Linked DNA regions of Drosophila melanogaster. The protein of the gene in region 2 interacts with the protein of the main gene of each other region in a pairwise test. Each region holds a gene or a part of one and is shown on either strand. Other genes may lie near its edges. The genes, in order: CG10365, Xrp1 and Nost.

Region 1 (5,731 bases), 4.8 Mb from region 2:
TTGTTGGATTTTTATATTTGCTGGTGTATTTTTAATCATTTTATCTTCTTCTTCGGGTTTCGATATATTTTAGCATAAATAAATTGACCCAAAAACAGGCTGGATGGTGGAAAATTACCGAAAACAAGTTCAAAAACCTTAAACGCACATCCCCATGCACACATACATATACATATGTAGATGCTTACGATATTTAACATCCTCAAAAGCACAAGCACACACACACACACACACGTTCACATGAGACTTTTCTTTGCACCACACAACTTGGTTACGTATACGCAGCGTTGGCCACTGCTCGTTTGCCATATGAAAAACGCTCCGAAATCGACTCGCTACACATTTCTGGGTCCTTGATACTGAACTTTTTTCATTGTGAAAGTTTTTTGCCAACGGTTCAAGGTTAGCAAATTTTTCTCAAAAATTGTTTATACAGCAATCTATAGTTCCTATCGGTCGTGTATGAGTGTGGGATAGTAGTTGGTCTGCAGTTCCCCAGAAAGAGGGCAAGTTACATTTTTTTTTTGTTTGCTTCGGGTAACAGGCGCAGAGCACACACAAATTCTGGGCTCCGTTAGCTATGTATGTACATAGAACGCCTTAAGCCCATTGATATCACATGTAGATGTATGTATGAAGAATGTACATAACATACGAGTGTACGTTTTTTAGGGGGGCATAAAAGTGTATCATGGTGGCGGCAGACTGAAATTCGTCGAAATCAACAAAGCACACGAACTCACACACACACACATGCACGTACACGAATTCTCCATCCAGATGGGCAAAGCTGGCGTTTTTGGATCAGGGCTTAGCACTTTTGGATGGGAATTTACGTGCAGCTGACTAAATTTTTGTCTCGCTTATCTCATATGTGATTCGCTCATTTAGCTTTCATCACCCGGCGAATAATCACAATTGAGATTGACAGGGTGTTAAATGGACTGAATTAGGTGATCTAAAGTTCTTAATAGTCGGCCTTAATTCAAAACAACTGCATGTTACTTAATAACACGCCCTCTAAATATGTTATCATGTCTTCATCGTTTGTTTCTTTAAGCCAGATAAGTGTTACTTAAATTCAGACGCCTTAAACTTATTTCTTTATTGAATTCCATATTGCTTTCAATCCTCTAAAAAAAACTCTCATAAAAAATCCTTAGTCATTTTATTAATTACATACACTACTTACGTATTATTATCTATAACTCTTTTAACATCAAATTAAACACACAAGCCTTCTGAGTATTAATTTACTTTGGTGCCTGATAGAATTCATATACATACAGGCACTTGAAAACAAAATAATAAACCCGGCTACTTGGCTTAACACTTCTAATTAAACAATTAAAAATATATTTTATTTTATTGTGCGCTAAACGTGGCTAATAATTCTCCATCTGTTGCTTTTTGCCCCTCTGAAAATTATCAAATTTATTCGACAAGGGCCTAGACTACATTTTATTGATAAATAACCAAGCAGACTGAAAAAACTTGAGTGTGTAATTTACAATCGCGCGTTGGCGTTTGCTATCGCCATATACTTTTTGCTAAAATGATAAGAGTTCATTCCGACTTGGGTTTCGAGACGAAAGGCCTCTGATAAGGGGCTGTACGGTATGGCACCCCCTCGATAGAGAAGATTAGACGTGTGAGCGAGCTACAGCCAACCGGCAGATTAAAGAGTTTGCCAGACAGTCCGGTTGAACAAAAGCCTTGAAAGGTAAACAACTTTTCAGCATATATCAATTAACACATCTGGCCTAATTTGAAGAATCACAAAAATAAGATACCGCGTAAAACCGACCTCTTAATACTTTCTTTTGCGCATTTTACTATCCAATCCTGTTGGCTAGGTGGACATACACGTGTGGCTCTCTTATTCGCAGATTTGTCTTGTTTATTCAAAACTACAAACTATTTTTAAGCACACAGCTTATATTTAACTTTAATGATGATGTTTGCTGCATGCATTCAAAGATATATTTAGCAATCAGAATCAGCATTTGAGAGGAAGTGTGCTCTAAGATGAAGAAGTAAATGATTGAGTGTAAATACGTTCAGTTTTAATCAATATTTGCTGTACTTAGTCCCCTTTTTTTTTGCATTTATTTACTTTAGTTTTTATTTTTATTTTTGTAAACACATTCATTTCATTGAATTTACACGTCGTACAATACGTATACCAAAGCGGAAAACTAAAAAGGCATGCTATTAAAGTTAAATAATTTCGGAATGAATAATGCAATCTAAACACCCGAAATTCGAAATATTCATCGAATTTCGGGTGTTCAAGGTACGTGCCAAATACTGAGACTAGAAGTCTTACTGATAGAGTTAACTAGCATTAATAGTATAGGGTATAGGGTACTTTCATATCATAAGCCAGTTTAAAATTGGCATTTCTTTAATGATATGTTTATATGAGTAGCAATTTCACTTGTTTTGCTGATTTCTAAATGCATTTTCACCATTTTCAGGCTCTGGTGATTTGCATCAACGGATTGCATGCACAGTGACTGGGCAATAAATTGAGGTATTTAATGTAAATACAAGAAAAGTAAGCAAAGACGAAAATAAATTCAAATACGTTTTGAATTAAATGAGAGGGAGGATGAGGGTGTGAGTAAGAGAGAACAGGCCGAGAGCGAGAGAGTGAGCGAATTATAACGGAGTGCAGGAAACAACAACACACATACACACACACCGATAAGGCAGAGTAATTACAGCAACAAAGTGTTGTAAATAAACAGCAAGGTAAATAGGAGCGAATGAGATAGTATATGCACGTGTTGACACTGAAAGCTCCCAACTTGGCACACTGACACACATATGAGCTTACATAGCAGCTATGTATGTACACACGTACATCCGATCTCTCCAAGTGCAACAATTTGATGCACAATTGCCCACCTGTCCATTTAATACCGCTTCCGAAAGTGCAACGGTGGCGTTTACGAGGGTTCATTAATTTTATGCTTATCAATTTCTGTTTCTTGCACTGTACTCCGCTTTTGTTGACTCGATTTGTTTTCTGGTTTTATCACTTTTTTCATTCCGTTGCGCCATTCAGCGGGGCAACGACAACACTAGCATTTCGCACTCGGTTGCGCGCCTTGTAATGAAAACAATAACAATAACACAAGCGCCTTTTCACTTGCACACTATCGCGGTGTCTCTTTCGGACTGACTGATGAAGCAGTGCGACCGTCCCCACCGACGGTTCCAATGTAAGTGCGAGAATTGCGCCGTTTTTTCGCTCTCAAATAATGCTCCAAGCTTCCCGTTCGTCGCTTCCCCACCCCATCTTCAACTCTTCAGCGAATTTCGCTGAGCGAGCATAAACGGTAAAATAATTACTGATTTCTTTACAAACCAGTCCTGGCAAAAGTACATACATACATAAATATGTACGTATGTATATACATACATATATTATTAACGATAAGTATTTAATATTTGAAGAACACAAAGGACATTGATGTTCAACAAATAACACTGAAGAAAATGTTGACATTTTCTAATATTCATATGTAATTTAAGAGCATAATGTGTATATATTTTTTGAATACCAATGTAAATTAAAAGTAATTGCGCACGATTTTTTTTTTGGTTAAATAAAACTAATAAAATAAAACTAAATAGACTTACTTATTATTTTTGTACGGTGTAGTTTTGATATTGAAGCTCCTTGATGCTGCCCCACTCTCTCTCTCTCTCTTTCTGTCTCTACACCTTCTGAAGCGCTCTCAACGCGCAGAGAGGAGACGGGAAGTTACGCATCTCCACTCTCAATGGCGAATGCTCCACAAACCCACAAACATCCATTGGCTGACGTAATTCATACGCACCGTTGCCGCATGCAGCTCGATTTTATGAATGGAAAGCACGACATGCAAAAGCACATTGCCACCAGGCAACAGACAAACTGAACAACAGGTGCAATTGGAGAACTTCGATCTTAATTGCTCTAATTGGAAAGTGATGTGTCGCAGTCTTGATTGCCAAGCTGCTGACTGATGGCAAAAAAACAACCTCCAGTTCAGATGTTACCTTGGTAAAAATAGACACGCACATACTATGTACGTCTGATAAGATCATGCACTAAATTTCGTTGAAATTGCGTCAGTTAAAAGCTGTGAAACTAGTGCGGACTTTTCACGCATATCCCTTGTATCAGAAAAACAAAAGCGCAAACGTGAATGGGCAACTATAAAAAGAAATTAAAACATTACCTTAATGTGGTCATATATAATTTAATTTTTTTTATTTATGTATACATATATTCTTAACGTTTCGCAGGTAAAATGCCTTAATTAATAAAAGTTTCATTCAACCGCCAGATATTTTGAAAAAAAATTGTGACGTTGCCGGCTATCCAAATAAAGATTTTAGAGCGCCATCTGTTGACTATGCTTTCCATACGTCTTGAAACTCGCCCTCTATGTGTGGGATCTTAAATATTATTATACAAATTGTAAACAAATCGTAAAACAAATACAATAAAATATTATTAGTAGTCATCCGTAGCGTAGGAACAATCCATTTTCGATAAGAAATTATAATAAATTACGGCAAACAAAAATAAAGCAAAATATATATAAGAAAATAACATCTTGGTTTTGATTTATGTATAATTACTTTATGGATAGATAACCGACGGATTTGAAATAATAAATACAAACAGTGACATAGTCTCACACTCTTAAATCCTAAGTTTTCGAATAATTTTTTTACTCTTTCTCAGCGATCAGGGGTTCGTAAGCAGACAGCGTCTGAAATCCGAGTTAGTTCAATCCGGCACTGCTCTTAGATCATACGCATACTTATAAGTTGCGTACATAAAAAGTGAAAAGTTTTTAAATTAAGTCATCATATTGCTTTCCAATACAATTTGGCTATTTGCTTATTAATAATTCAGAGTGATAATTGACCATATATTATTAACACACACTTAGTGAAAATTTATGTATTTCAAATTATCGAAATAACTTGCCATTCCAGTCCAGTTCTAGATATTTCATATGACTAATGGATATACGGATATACCCAGCTATATTTCCCAGAATTTATAATATGATACATTTTGGCTAATGGTCAAACTTTCATCCTAAGAACAGTCGAAGTTTGAACGTCCACATATTGACATGGTCGAAGTATCTGTTTGCTTTCTTATACAAGGGTTTCTACTGTCGCTGTCATTTGGGCGTGGTACGAATAATTAATAATAGTGTTGAAATAATTTGCTTTTCAGTCATCATTATCATTATCATAATCATTTTAAGAGTTCAATGAAGTTCAAAATGTGCGTGGCAAGAAACACAAAGTCGCACAAATAGCCATTTTTTTTATATTCTGTACACGTATGTATTTCACGGATCATATTTTGTTCAGTTCAGTTGCAGGTTTACAATTCATGGAAAAAGTGTGATGTCAATGAGGACTGTACACACCTTAAAGCATGCCCACCCTTGAAATACTTTCTGCAATCGGCGGATATAAGTTGGGCCAGAGAAGCAATATTGCGGGACAAACAATGTGGTTATAATAGCTACTGCTGCCGAAAAGAAGGTAAATGGCTGACCAAATCGAAGTCTTTTGCCATTATTTTCTAATTTCGAACTTTACCAGGCTATGAAAGAAGATCCAATGAACAATGCGTCATGCTCAATGACTGTCCCCAGTTTAATGGCCGGAAATGGACGAGTGATATTTTGAAATCCATAATAAA
Region 2 (5,458 bases):
TGGGATAGCGACAAATGTCCACTGTTATTGTTCCGCGATGAACAACAACGATTGCCAAGTCTTTACACTGGGTTTCCTTGGTTATATGTATTCTATATGTATTTTATAGAACTAACTTCACTGTGCGATCTCTGAGTCAACCGACTGCTTGGAGTATTCACTACGTTTTGAACGGCTGCTAGTGGCGAACAGAAATGAAACTGTTGGATTTGCTGTGCACTGTGAATTTCATTCGTTGTGAAATTCAAAAAGCTCCCACAAACCAGTTTGCCATAGCCAGATACTTTTCCCTATCGGTGTGTGTCGGTGTATTTCAGATAAGCGTTCGCTGTGAGCAAGCAAGAGAGCGCTAAAATTCCCTGTTGCCGCCAGATGGCCTGCTTTTATAAAATTTCCCCGGCATATACTATTTTCATATGAGCTACAAGTTGGAGGCTCTTTGTCACAGCCGGCCGGTGTTTTTCATATTTGTATGTAAGTATGTACTTTACCGAACCAAACATTGCAAAGTACATTTTAGTGAGACTAAGTATTCATGAGTGAGATATATTATAGGCATGAGTCATAATCGTTTGCTTGGGTGGACCGACCTATCACAATATCATTTCTATTAAATAATTAGATACATACATTTTGCACAATGAAAATAAATTGTATTTTTGACTTTCAATGCAAAAATATATAAAGACCTCTTTTTAAAATTAATGAATTTTTTTTATTAATATCTATTTATTCATAGGTTTTTTCATCAATATGTAAAAAAATAATAACAAAACTATTAACAATGAACGAGAAAAACAACTAAGTTTCCAAGTTTGCACAGATTTGACACTGTCAAGAAATTTTTTGCACAAAGTACTTAAGCTATCTTAGACTTATAGTTCATAAGAAATTATAATAACTTGAGGTAATTCTAATACTTTGCATGCATACCCTTAGCATTAATAAAATATTGCAGAAGTTTTTTCATTGAAAAAATAACTTTTCAAGATCATTTTGTTTTGGGATCTTATATTCTTTGGGTCAAGAACTTTAAACAAAATTAAAAACACAAAAGAACGAGGCATGAGAATGCATGGTTATACTAAATAATAATATATGTACGCATCTGTATGTATGTATGTATGTATGCATTAGCCCAAGGGAGTGATTTAGTTGGAAGTCTTTTAAATTTCAGAGCAAATGCATTCATTTTCTAGATTGTTTGGCCTTTAAAAATAATAGACTGTGAACCCCACGACAATCCAAAAATCGTTGAGATGTGAACTTGGGAAATTTCTTCACGTTCTTTCTCTTTCGTACAGCTCATTCGCCCACATTTGAAGAGAAGAGCTTTCTTGTCGTGGTATTAGTAAGCTCTCTTTGAATGTGTGCTCAGATAAAAGCTGTTGAATTCTCGAAATCGAAAAGCTCTGCGTACGTACGTATGCATGTATGTATAACAGCTTTAACTGATAATTTAGAAATCCATGAGTCATGCTGATAAATATAAAGCGCAAAATGAGCTTCAGCGGTTGGCAAAAACTGTCATCATGTGATATTTGTAATGGGCCTGATCTGCAGACACAAATACAATATAACCAAGGGGGGGGGGGGTCATTTTGATTATTTGCCCACGTCCTCTGATTTTAGCCCCCAAAGCTGAGGAGCTTAAATGCCAGTCCACATATGCGTGCAAAAATATGTGACTTTCAAACGACAATCTTGCGCAGCGCACCGACTGGCACGAGCTCTTGGAATATCGAAGACGACCATCAACAATGGACGCCCTCAGTTGGCAAATTAACAAAATAAATGGCCAACACGTAGCGATTCGTTCAATCTTTTCACGATGAGTGCGCATTTTTCGATTCCACGAAATGGGAATGGAAAGGTAGGGCGTTTTGCATGTGTAGATGAATAGCAATTGATCTACAAAGCCCCTTCCTTGTTCGATTTGATTATCTTATCTTATCACTTTTATCTGAAACGTGATCTACATATGTACATACAATATAGTGTGGTGGTAGCTAAAAGTGTATGACTAAGTTTAAAGTGATTTTTTGCAACAAGCAGTTGTCTGGCATATCCAAAAATGTGTTTTTTTAAGCTGTTTCGGTGTGCTCAGTCTCTAAAGTTTTAAATTAGTAAAGCCAAAGATTTTTGTATCTTCCCTACCATATATGCATGAATGTCTGTAACTCAACAGGTCACCATTATTAATTATTTAGTAATCATCCTAAAGATACAAAATTTAAGACTAGTTACTTAACTAATAATATAGAATAAGATATAAGACAGAATCCGGTTTAGAAACCCCATATAAATTTATTATTTTAAGCGTCACGTTTTCACATGTAATCAAAACACCTATCAAAACAACGCCCTACAAAAGTTCACGATTACTATAGGCCTATAGGTAGGTGGCCTCATCTATCTATGTATACTCGACGTGAAGTGTACCCAGTGTCAATGACACCGCCAGCAACAAAGTTGTGGCAACAAATGTTGCTGGCTTTGGGAAAATGAGAAATGTGGCCAGTAGTTGCTTACCCTCCATCATGTTGCTGCCACGTTGAGCAGGTTCCAATGATGACGGCACTAATATGATCTTGATCCTTGTTGCTCCTTATCTCCGGTGACTATTTGACTTATTCGAATCGGTTTCAAAAGAAAGTGCGGCGACTAAAGCGACGGCGGTTAAAGTCACGCTTCTTTCGTAGCAACTTGGAGCGTCGTAGGATCTTAGTGCCCGTAGTGCCACCAGTGCCGGTGCCGATCGTGGAGGTCTCGATATTGATTGAATTGTTGCAATAAAACTTATTGTTATGCCAGCCGCGCATACGCATACACATAAAGTTGTTGAGCATGGGAACCTGCTGCTGCGAATGTTGCACACACATGAAGACAACGACAGGCGAATGTTGCATGACGTTCTTAGGCGACGCGATGTTGGATTTCCCGCTTTTTCTCGACACTGCTGTTGCTGTTAGTGTTGCACCAACCGCAGGCAGAACGAACATAATATTGGGGCAAAATGCCTTTGAAGTGTTTTTCTCTTTTTTTTTCTTTTTTTTTTTTGGTACGGTCAGCTGTTGCTTCAGTGATACCACTTGTGTAGATCGGGCGTATGCTTAATGTACTCGTCAAGTGTTCGTGTTCACAAGCGCTTATCTATATAGCATCTAGATACAACTGTTATCTGAGATACCGAGATACGAAGTATATATAGAAATTGTTTGTTTAATTTTCGCCAATTTATTGCGTCTCTCGCAAATGTTTTTCAGGCTGTTAATCACTCTGAACTTTGCACTCAAAGTTGAGTTTATCTGGTACGTTTTACACGAAAAGAAATTACTGTTCTATGAATAGGATATCTTTGTAACGAGGTTCAGCGTTTGATGCCATTAAGATGGGATTCTAAAACACGTATCGAAAATTTCACAAATTCCACGCTGATTTGCACACCGAAAGCTCTGTCGTTTGCCTTGACTCACTGAATTGTTGTTCTGTTCGCGACGAAGTATTGTTACTAACTGACTCAACTGCGAGCACTGGACGGCAGCCGCTGGCCGGGGTTGATATAATTTTGCTGACGTCGTTGCCGGTTTCATTCACCGCTCCGTCCATATACCCTTTCCCCACCACCAATATATATTCACATATATTCACACACACGCGCTCTCTCAGCTGCTGTGTCTATTTTCTATGGCCGTGCCCCCAAAACATTTCCACGCGGGGATCTTTTTCTCTCATTATTTTTGTGATGCGGAGGATGGGCCACTCGGATAAGTGGGTGCCTCTACTTCTTAGATACTACTCTACTCTAAAACCCTTAGCTGGTTGAAAGCAGCTGAAAAAGGTGTAAACAATGCATTAGCATCAACTGATTTAAGTTCTGAAAAAAAAAAATTTCCATGTGCTATTAACTTGAGGCAAAGTATTACATACAACACAGTTAAGTTAATATAACAAAAAATATATATATTTTCAATAAACTGTGCAAAACGCAGACAGATTATTCATAGCCGTTCATATTATTTGGCTAGCGACAGTCTGAAAATTGCACAGATAGCATTTCGGTCTAAATTGGCTACAATAGATAAGAGAAGCTAAAAAAAAAGAATAAATTTTACTCTGCACCCAGATAATTTAGAAACGTAGATATTAAGGTTGTAAGTAATAGCAACTATGTTTGCTCACAAAGGGTTAATAAACTGGTATTTAATAAAAAGCCGCGAAACTTAAGTATAGTTCAATACTTTGCGTATTTTTTCGCGCCTAAATATTCATTTATATTCATATGATCATTCACAGGATTTTTAATGTAAATGTAAGTATTTATGGTTACATATGTCACCTATGTCCGCTCCAAAAGGTATAGGGCAACTGGTTTGGCAGCCTGCCATGCAGCAACAACAAACAATACAGATTCGCACTCTTTCTCTCCACGTGAGTGAAACTCTCTCTCGCTGGTTGAGATTGGCTGATGCAACACTTGCCACACGTTGCAACAGCTGTTTTAGTCTGGCCCAGCTGATTCGTATTGTTGGCTTGTTGCCAGAGACTGCGAAAATCTCTTGGCAACATGTTGCCACAACTTTTGGAAAACTCATAGTGTTGTTAAACATGTTGGGCGAAATTTTCACACCGGTGCAGGGCAAAAAGGGGGTGGCTTAAACTGTAGCTGGCTGGCTGGCTTAAATTAGCCGGCCGATGATTCATTTTGGGGGTTGTCCACTTACATAAGATGAGCTCACCCAATGTGAAAACTCTTTAGTCGCTGGAAGAAACTGCGCATTTCGACACAGAAAAGCCTAAACAAGCAGAACGAACATTTGTTTTGTAGATTTATAATTTTTCAAAACATACAATCGCATTGCACTTTGCGATTGGCCTTGACACCCTGACGTGGTTCCATTTGGCGACACTGTTCCTGCTTTTATCTTCTCCATGGCGCAAGATAAAATCAGAAAGTACAACGTGTTGATCACCTAATGGCCAGAGTCATGCAAACCAAACTCTTGGTGATTTAAATCTATTTCCATGTCTGTCACAAAAGAATACTGCTTATTATTATATGGCGGGTTATAATTTACCAAAGTACACAAAATGTTACAATACAATACAGTTGAATATATACTAGTTAAATGTACATATGTTTTATAACAGCTCATTGGCTGTGTTTTAATGGTTTATAAATGTAAAGTGTTTTTAAAGCATTTTAAATTTCAAATGAAACATTTTTTTTGTGGAAGTGCTGTTTTTTATACTGTTCAGATATATCTCACTGATATTTATGATGATTCTTTAATCGTATGACTGTACAGTACCCTCACACTTTAGTTCTCTGTATGGTGTGTTGACTGTAGTCAAACCGCTCCCAAAGAAAGTCGGGCAAAGTGAATGTACCTAGGCGCGCTCCCGCTGAGCATTTGTTGTGTTGATGAGATTAAAACTGGAACTGGGAATGGAATTG
Region 3 (5,598 bases), on a different chromosome or scaffold from region 2:
CAATGCCTAACTGTACGATAGTAAGCATACTATATACACATATATATATACATATATTGATAAAGTAATAAAGCGGCATAAATGTGTAAAAGTAATCTATTTATTTACACCGACAACCCTGTAAATACACAAATTCTGTGCAATTTTCTATCGACTCCCGCAAAACCCCGCGTTTTAATTCAATCCTCGCCCAAATCGAAACTTTGAACAGACAACGACTTTGGATTCTCCCTTCCACCTGGATATACACTATATATACATACATATATATATACATACATACATTTAATTATTAACTTACGCAAGTCTGAAAGTATTTCTATCGAAGAGTTCTAAACTGCTTAACTGTAAAGTGTACATACATATACCGAATTACAAACACTCACAGATCCTATAAACTATATTTATAGATGTAAGAAAAAGCACACTATTGATAACCATCCCCATCACTGTATGTATATGCCTATTTAATATATATATATATATATATATATATATCTACTTTTTTTGAATTAGTCACTAAGCATAGACAACATGAATTACTAAGTACGATATGCACTGCAAGCACTGAGGAATTTGATTCAATTTTACTTAAGACAAACGAAAAGAGAAATTGAAATAGCATTTAGCAAACCTAACGGAAAATCAAAAAAAAAAAAACAGAATTAAATAAGAGAATCTCCAATTTCTGGGATAATAATTACAAATTTAATATTAATTTTTCGAGCTACATCGGATGAGAAATACCGACGAAAAAAAAAAACTGTATTCGCTTGTGGCAATTGTGTGGGAAAGTCGAGAACGTTTAGCATCTGGATTGGCTATGCAGCATTCGTATGTTATATACTTAGAAACCCGAAAACCACAGATACACACACACACCCACGAATATTAAATAGATGTACAATAGTTATATAGACTCATTCGCATCGATCCTTTAAGCCATAGTCTATCCTGTTAAGCTCTCAAACAAAATTGTAATTTTCGGAACCGCAAAAAACGAACCCCAAACGCTCAGCTACGAGTTTCTGTTTAAAATCCAAGTGCAACTTTCAAAGAATTGTAAAAAAAAAAAAAATATCAATAACACTTTACGCTAGCGAATCCCAACAATATTTGGACAAACGATCGAAATCATCCACAAAATTGCTTATAATATGAATTTTCTGACTCTCTCCTAAGGGAAAATAAAAATTTTTTTTGGTATTTCAAACTCAACAACATTGCGTTTTTCTTTTATGGCATAGTTTTGGGCTTTCTCACCTACAAGTAAAGTCAAATTCAGATGAGTCACGGCTTGTAAGGTAACTAAATAAGTTATTAGAATATTGTAATCACAGCATTTAGACGGAAATCGAAATAAGTCATAAGGGTAAGTTCGAAAGATGCAAATTTATGCATCTGCATTCCATAACTTTGAAGTCATCGTAAGCCAAGCTTAAACGAGCTTTAAAACGTACACAAAGCTTGTCCAATTGGCTGCAACTTTTTTTTAACAATAAATAAATTTTTAAAAATTAAATCTTTTTATCTAAAATTGTCTGAATGTCAGCTGACTTCAATCAGTTGAATATATGTTCTTTATGCATTTTCATTTCATATTTTTCTTTATCATATTCTATTCACCGAGTGGAAGATTTCCCTGCAGGTTTGTTGTTTTTTTTTTTAGCCACATAAGTCAGTAAATCAGCCCACTGTACCCACTGTGCCGCTCCACAAAGAGCGTTCAGCGTTGAGCGGAGAGCGTTTAGAAAGCGCCAGCGACCGGCGATTGCAATTGCCACCGCTCACGGAGAGCGGCGAGCGGCGTTTGCGATTGCGATTGCCATTGGGATTGGGATTTGTTGTAGCGTGGATCGCGGAGTCGGAGTCAAAAGCTAAAAGCCAGATTCAGTTGGCGGCGCAGACTCGACTCGTTTAGTTCGCCGTTTCGTAGAAGAGCGACGAGAGCGCATGCGGCTTTTCCAGCGCGGTTTTTCCACCAAAACTTCGGCGACCTGTGTACTATTATTTATATTTTTATTACATTTTTTTTTATTGTTTTTTCTTTCTACCTGCGAACGCTTTGCTCGCCTTGAACTGGAGTGCTTCGTTTTTGAGTAGTGCATCTCTGCCTTTTGCTGGCGAGTGCTACAATTGTCGCACGTAATCGTGCTGGCAGTTACGCCTCAGAAAGCAGCCAAAAAAAAAAGAAAAAAAAACGCAGATACAAGATACAAAAGTATCTCGAACACATGCGTTACGCTCAGCTGACTCGTCGTGTGTGTGAGTGTATCGTAGTGTCGTTGTGTGTGTGTGCTAACAAATTGGTTAGATAAATTAAACAAAAACTGTGAAATTCGCGAATCAAAAAAAAAAAAAAAACAAAAGTAAAATAAAAGTTACACAAACGAAATACGCGAAGGAAAAGCGACGAGCTGAAACTGAAAGCAAACAATCAGCCGGGCTGACCAGTAGTAAATGCTTTAAACTTCAATTATAAAATTTAAATTGAAAAAAATAAAAAAAACACATATAGTTCACAATACCGCATCATAATATCCTACCCGCATCCTAACCCCCGCCGCTGGCCAAAATATGTCACAATTCCGCGATAATTCATGGGTGAGTTGCGATCGAGTTCAGTTCGGTTTGGCTTGAGATTTGGCACTAATTACCGACTAACTACTGCACACGTATCCACAGTGATACTCGCACTCTATCCTGCACTCAAAACTAATCCAAATTGCACAATTATCCAACACAATTTCTCTCCCTATCCTCATTTGTCCATTGCCCAACGCCCCCTCTCGACATCTTCTTAATTGGTCCAAATCGTTAATTAACCTGTGTGGCCATCTGTAAACCGATTGGCCAATTGGCACCATGCATCTCTCGGCCTGACCCGATTTTTTTAAATTTCGCAGCTCGCCAAGTGCCGATCCATCGATTGGTGGAATTGCACTGGCAATCAAAGTTGATAATTAGGGGAATTTTGACGATTTCTTCAATCATTTTGATGTTTAGTATTTGAGATACATTCACTAGTTCTTTGATGGCTTATTACCTTAAACTGCTTTTGAACTTTAAGAAAGTTACAAATATTCGTTTTAACTTACTATAACTTTATAAGTTTAATGAACAGAAAATATAGAACTTTCCACATTTATAGACAAGCAATTATAATATCATTTTCGATATAAAAAACATTATTATTAGGGGTGTTTTTTTTCGAGTGCATTTGCATTTGTGCCGACTGGCAATTGACTTGGAACTGAGAATTTTGACAGCTTCCGAAGCTTCGCATGCAGCGAATTACCTTGGCTTTATCAGCGGAATAACGGTGTCGAGGTCACTCGAAATAACCTAATCAAATTGGTTGGTTTTTTTAAATTTTAATTTTTTATTTTTTTTTAATAGGAGTGCGTCGTTCGCTTTGGCGAACGAAAGTCGAACAGTTTTTGAATAAATTAGTGCGATGCAAAACACGCAGGTTAAGCGGGTCAAACGGCAATGTTGATAGGCATGGGATGAAATTTATAGATCGACTTATTCGAAGTGCTGTGCAACCCGTTTATCTCGAACGATTTATCTGCGAAATATCTGGCCAAGATGGTAAAAAAAAAAAACAAAAAAAACTACTGCGGCAAGTGGTATTGCAAGATATGCAAAATTGTGGTTAAGTAAAGTAGTAAATTATCAATACTTTGTATTTAGAGATATGAATTCACTACTTAAGATACTTTTTTTTCGATTTAGTTTCTCTATATGTTTGCTGACTTTCGAATTAAGCCGCAATTGCTTTGCATTTTTTTTATCTCTACTTGTGTCAAAGAGAAAAACACACACACCTACATTTACCGAGAAATTTCCCAACTTAATTTCTACATGCTATCTAGATCAAACATCATTTCCACACCTCGAGCGCCCTTTTTCTACAGCAATTGCATGATTTGAAGGTCGACGGAGCTTTCTTTTGTTTCTTTTGGAGTTAAAAAAAAAAAAAAACCGGTGAAACAAACAGTTAGGATTGCACTCAGCGAAAAGAGTTATCTAAATCCATAACTTGTTGATAAGAAGATAGTGGTTGTATTGTAGTAAAAAATAATCATATAAAAACTTGGTACATTTAGGCATGGTGAACTTTTGCACCACAGCAATTTCGCGTAGAATCGCATTCTTTTTTTTTAGAAGCCTTTGTTTCGCTTCGCTGTATTTTTGTTGTTTATGAATGTGAATGCGTTATCGTCGTATCTGCGTAACTGTAATCGCATTATGATCCATTAAAATGCGCCAGCTTTTTTGGCAGTTTTTTTTTTTGTGATAAGGTCTGCGGACACCCACCACCTAAGGCGCTCCCTCGTCTGGCAGCAAAAAAATGAAAATAAAAAATATCATAAAACCAATCAAAATCCAGTAAAATAAGAGAAAAACCAGTTGGCCTGGCCCAAGTCGATTGCGCAAATGTCGTGACTGACGTCGCGCCAACGATTATCATCTTCTTCTGGCTAAGATTGAGATTCGGACTGGGATTGGGATTGGGATTTGGGACTTGGGATGCTGCACCTGCACATCCAAAGTCTGGCGGCTGAAGTCTGCTTCCTGGTGGCAGCTTCAAGTTCAATTACGGCAGATTGTCGTGAAGGCATTGGCCATGGATTCACAACCATATCGATATACACAACCACAACCATATTCACATCCACATCCACATCCACATGTCCATGTTGGTCATCAGCAACTTTCACTCACCGGCTAAATGACGATGACGATGTGTGCCTCCTGCACATTTTGTCATCGTTTTTCATGTGGGAAAATCTCTCGCCTCTGCAAAAGATCCAAAGAAAAAAAGACCTAAACGATGGGGAAGTCGTGTGGAGGCTCGCTTTTATTTTTCCTTCTTTTTTATTCATGGAAGCTGCGCTTTTGGGCAGACATTGCAAAATAATTTCCACAACAAGTTGGGAAGGCCGTCGACGACAATGAACTTTTAATTACCCCAAAGACTCGTTTCGCAAAAAAAATAAAAACACATGGAGAAAAGTAAAGGGGGAGCACAAACCTCATTCAAATGAGGTTTGCGGAAGAAAAAGAAAAGAAATTTTCAAAGGAGGAAAAGTTACTTAGCTCTCCGTGATCATATGCAATTTAATGCCTGCCCAATTTGCTGCGGAACAATCGGGTCTTTGTTTTTTTATGAGCAAAACCCTCCATTTCCCCAGCAGCAGATTAGATTTCAATTGAAGATTTGCAGATTGGCTTCCCTCGTTGATTTTCGTGGGATTGCCAGCCGAAAACTGGCTAGCCAAATTATGAATAAGTGTGCTGTAAATACGATTTCTGGCTAATACCAAAGCGGATTACAGTGCAATGATTCGATTTTTGCCGGCAATTGCAAATTTTTGTTGTACTTTCTGTGCCTTTTATGCCTTCGGGCCAATTTTTCCAACCAACATTTTACATATGCATAGGCCGGTAAATAGTAAAACCACAAAAAAAAACGCATTTAATATAAAATGTTGGAAAAAGTGGTCAAAAAAATTTGACAATTTTGAATGGCAATCAATTGGAAATTAAATCGAAATCGAAAAATCATCAAAACTACTTTTTCCAAAATTT

What was found.
Region 1: the proteins of Xrp1 (region 2) and CG10365 interact in a two-hybrid assay, tested with the Drosophila melanogaster proteins (one large-scale study listed by BioGRID).
Region 3: the proteins of Xrp1 (region 2) and Nost interact in a two-hybrid assay, tested with the Drosophila melanogaster proteins (one large-scale study listed by BioGRID).

What each region holds. Positions count from the first base shown.
Region 1 is NT_033777.3:23,720,841-23,726,571, reverse strand, and holds the start of CG10365 (uncharacterized protein), read right to left. Parts: upstream 3,242-5,731; 5' UTR 2,914-3,241; exon of another isoform or gene 2,843-2,913; intron 1-2,842. Other genes in the region: CG10232 (uncharacterized protein), read left to right, coding at 5,148-5,211, 5,395-5,571, 5,632-5,731.
Region 2 is NT_033777.3:18,913,000-18,918,457, reverse strand, and holds the start of Xrp1 (Xrp1), read right to left. Parts: upstream 3,491-5,458; 5' UTR 2,533-3,490; intron 199-2,532; exon of another isoform or gene 1-198.
Region 3 is NC_004354.4:9,028,293-9,033,890, forward strand, and holds the start of Nost (nostrin), read left to right. Parts: upstream 1-1,912; 5' UTR 1,913-2,577; coding exon 2,578-2,604; intron 2,605-5,598.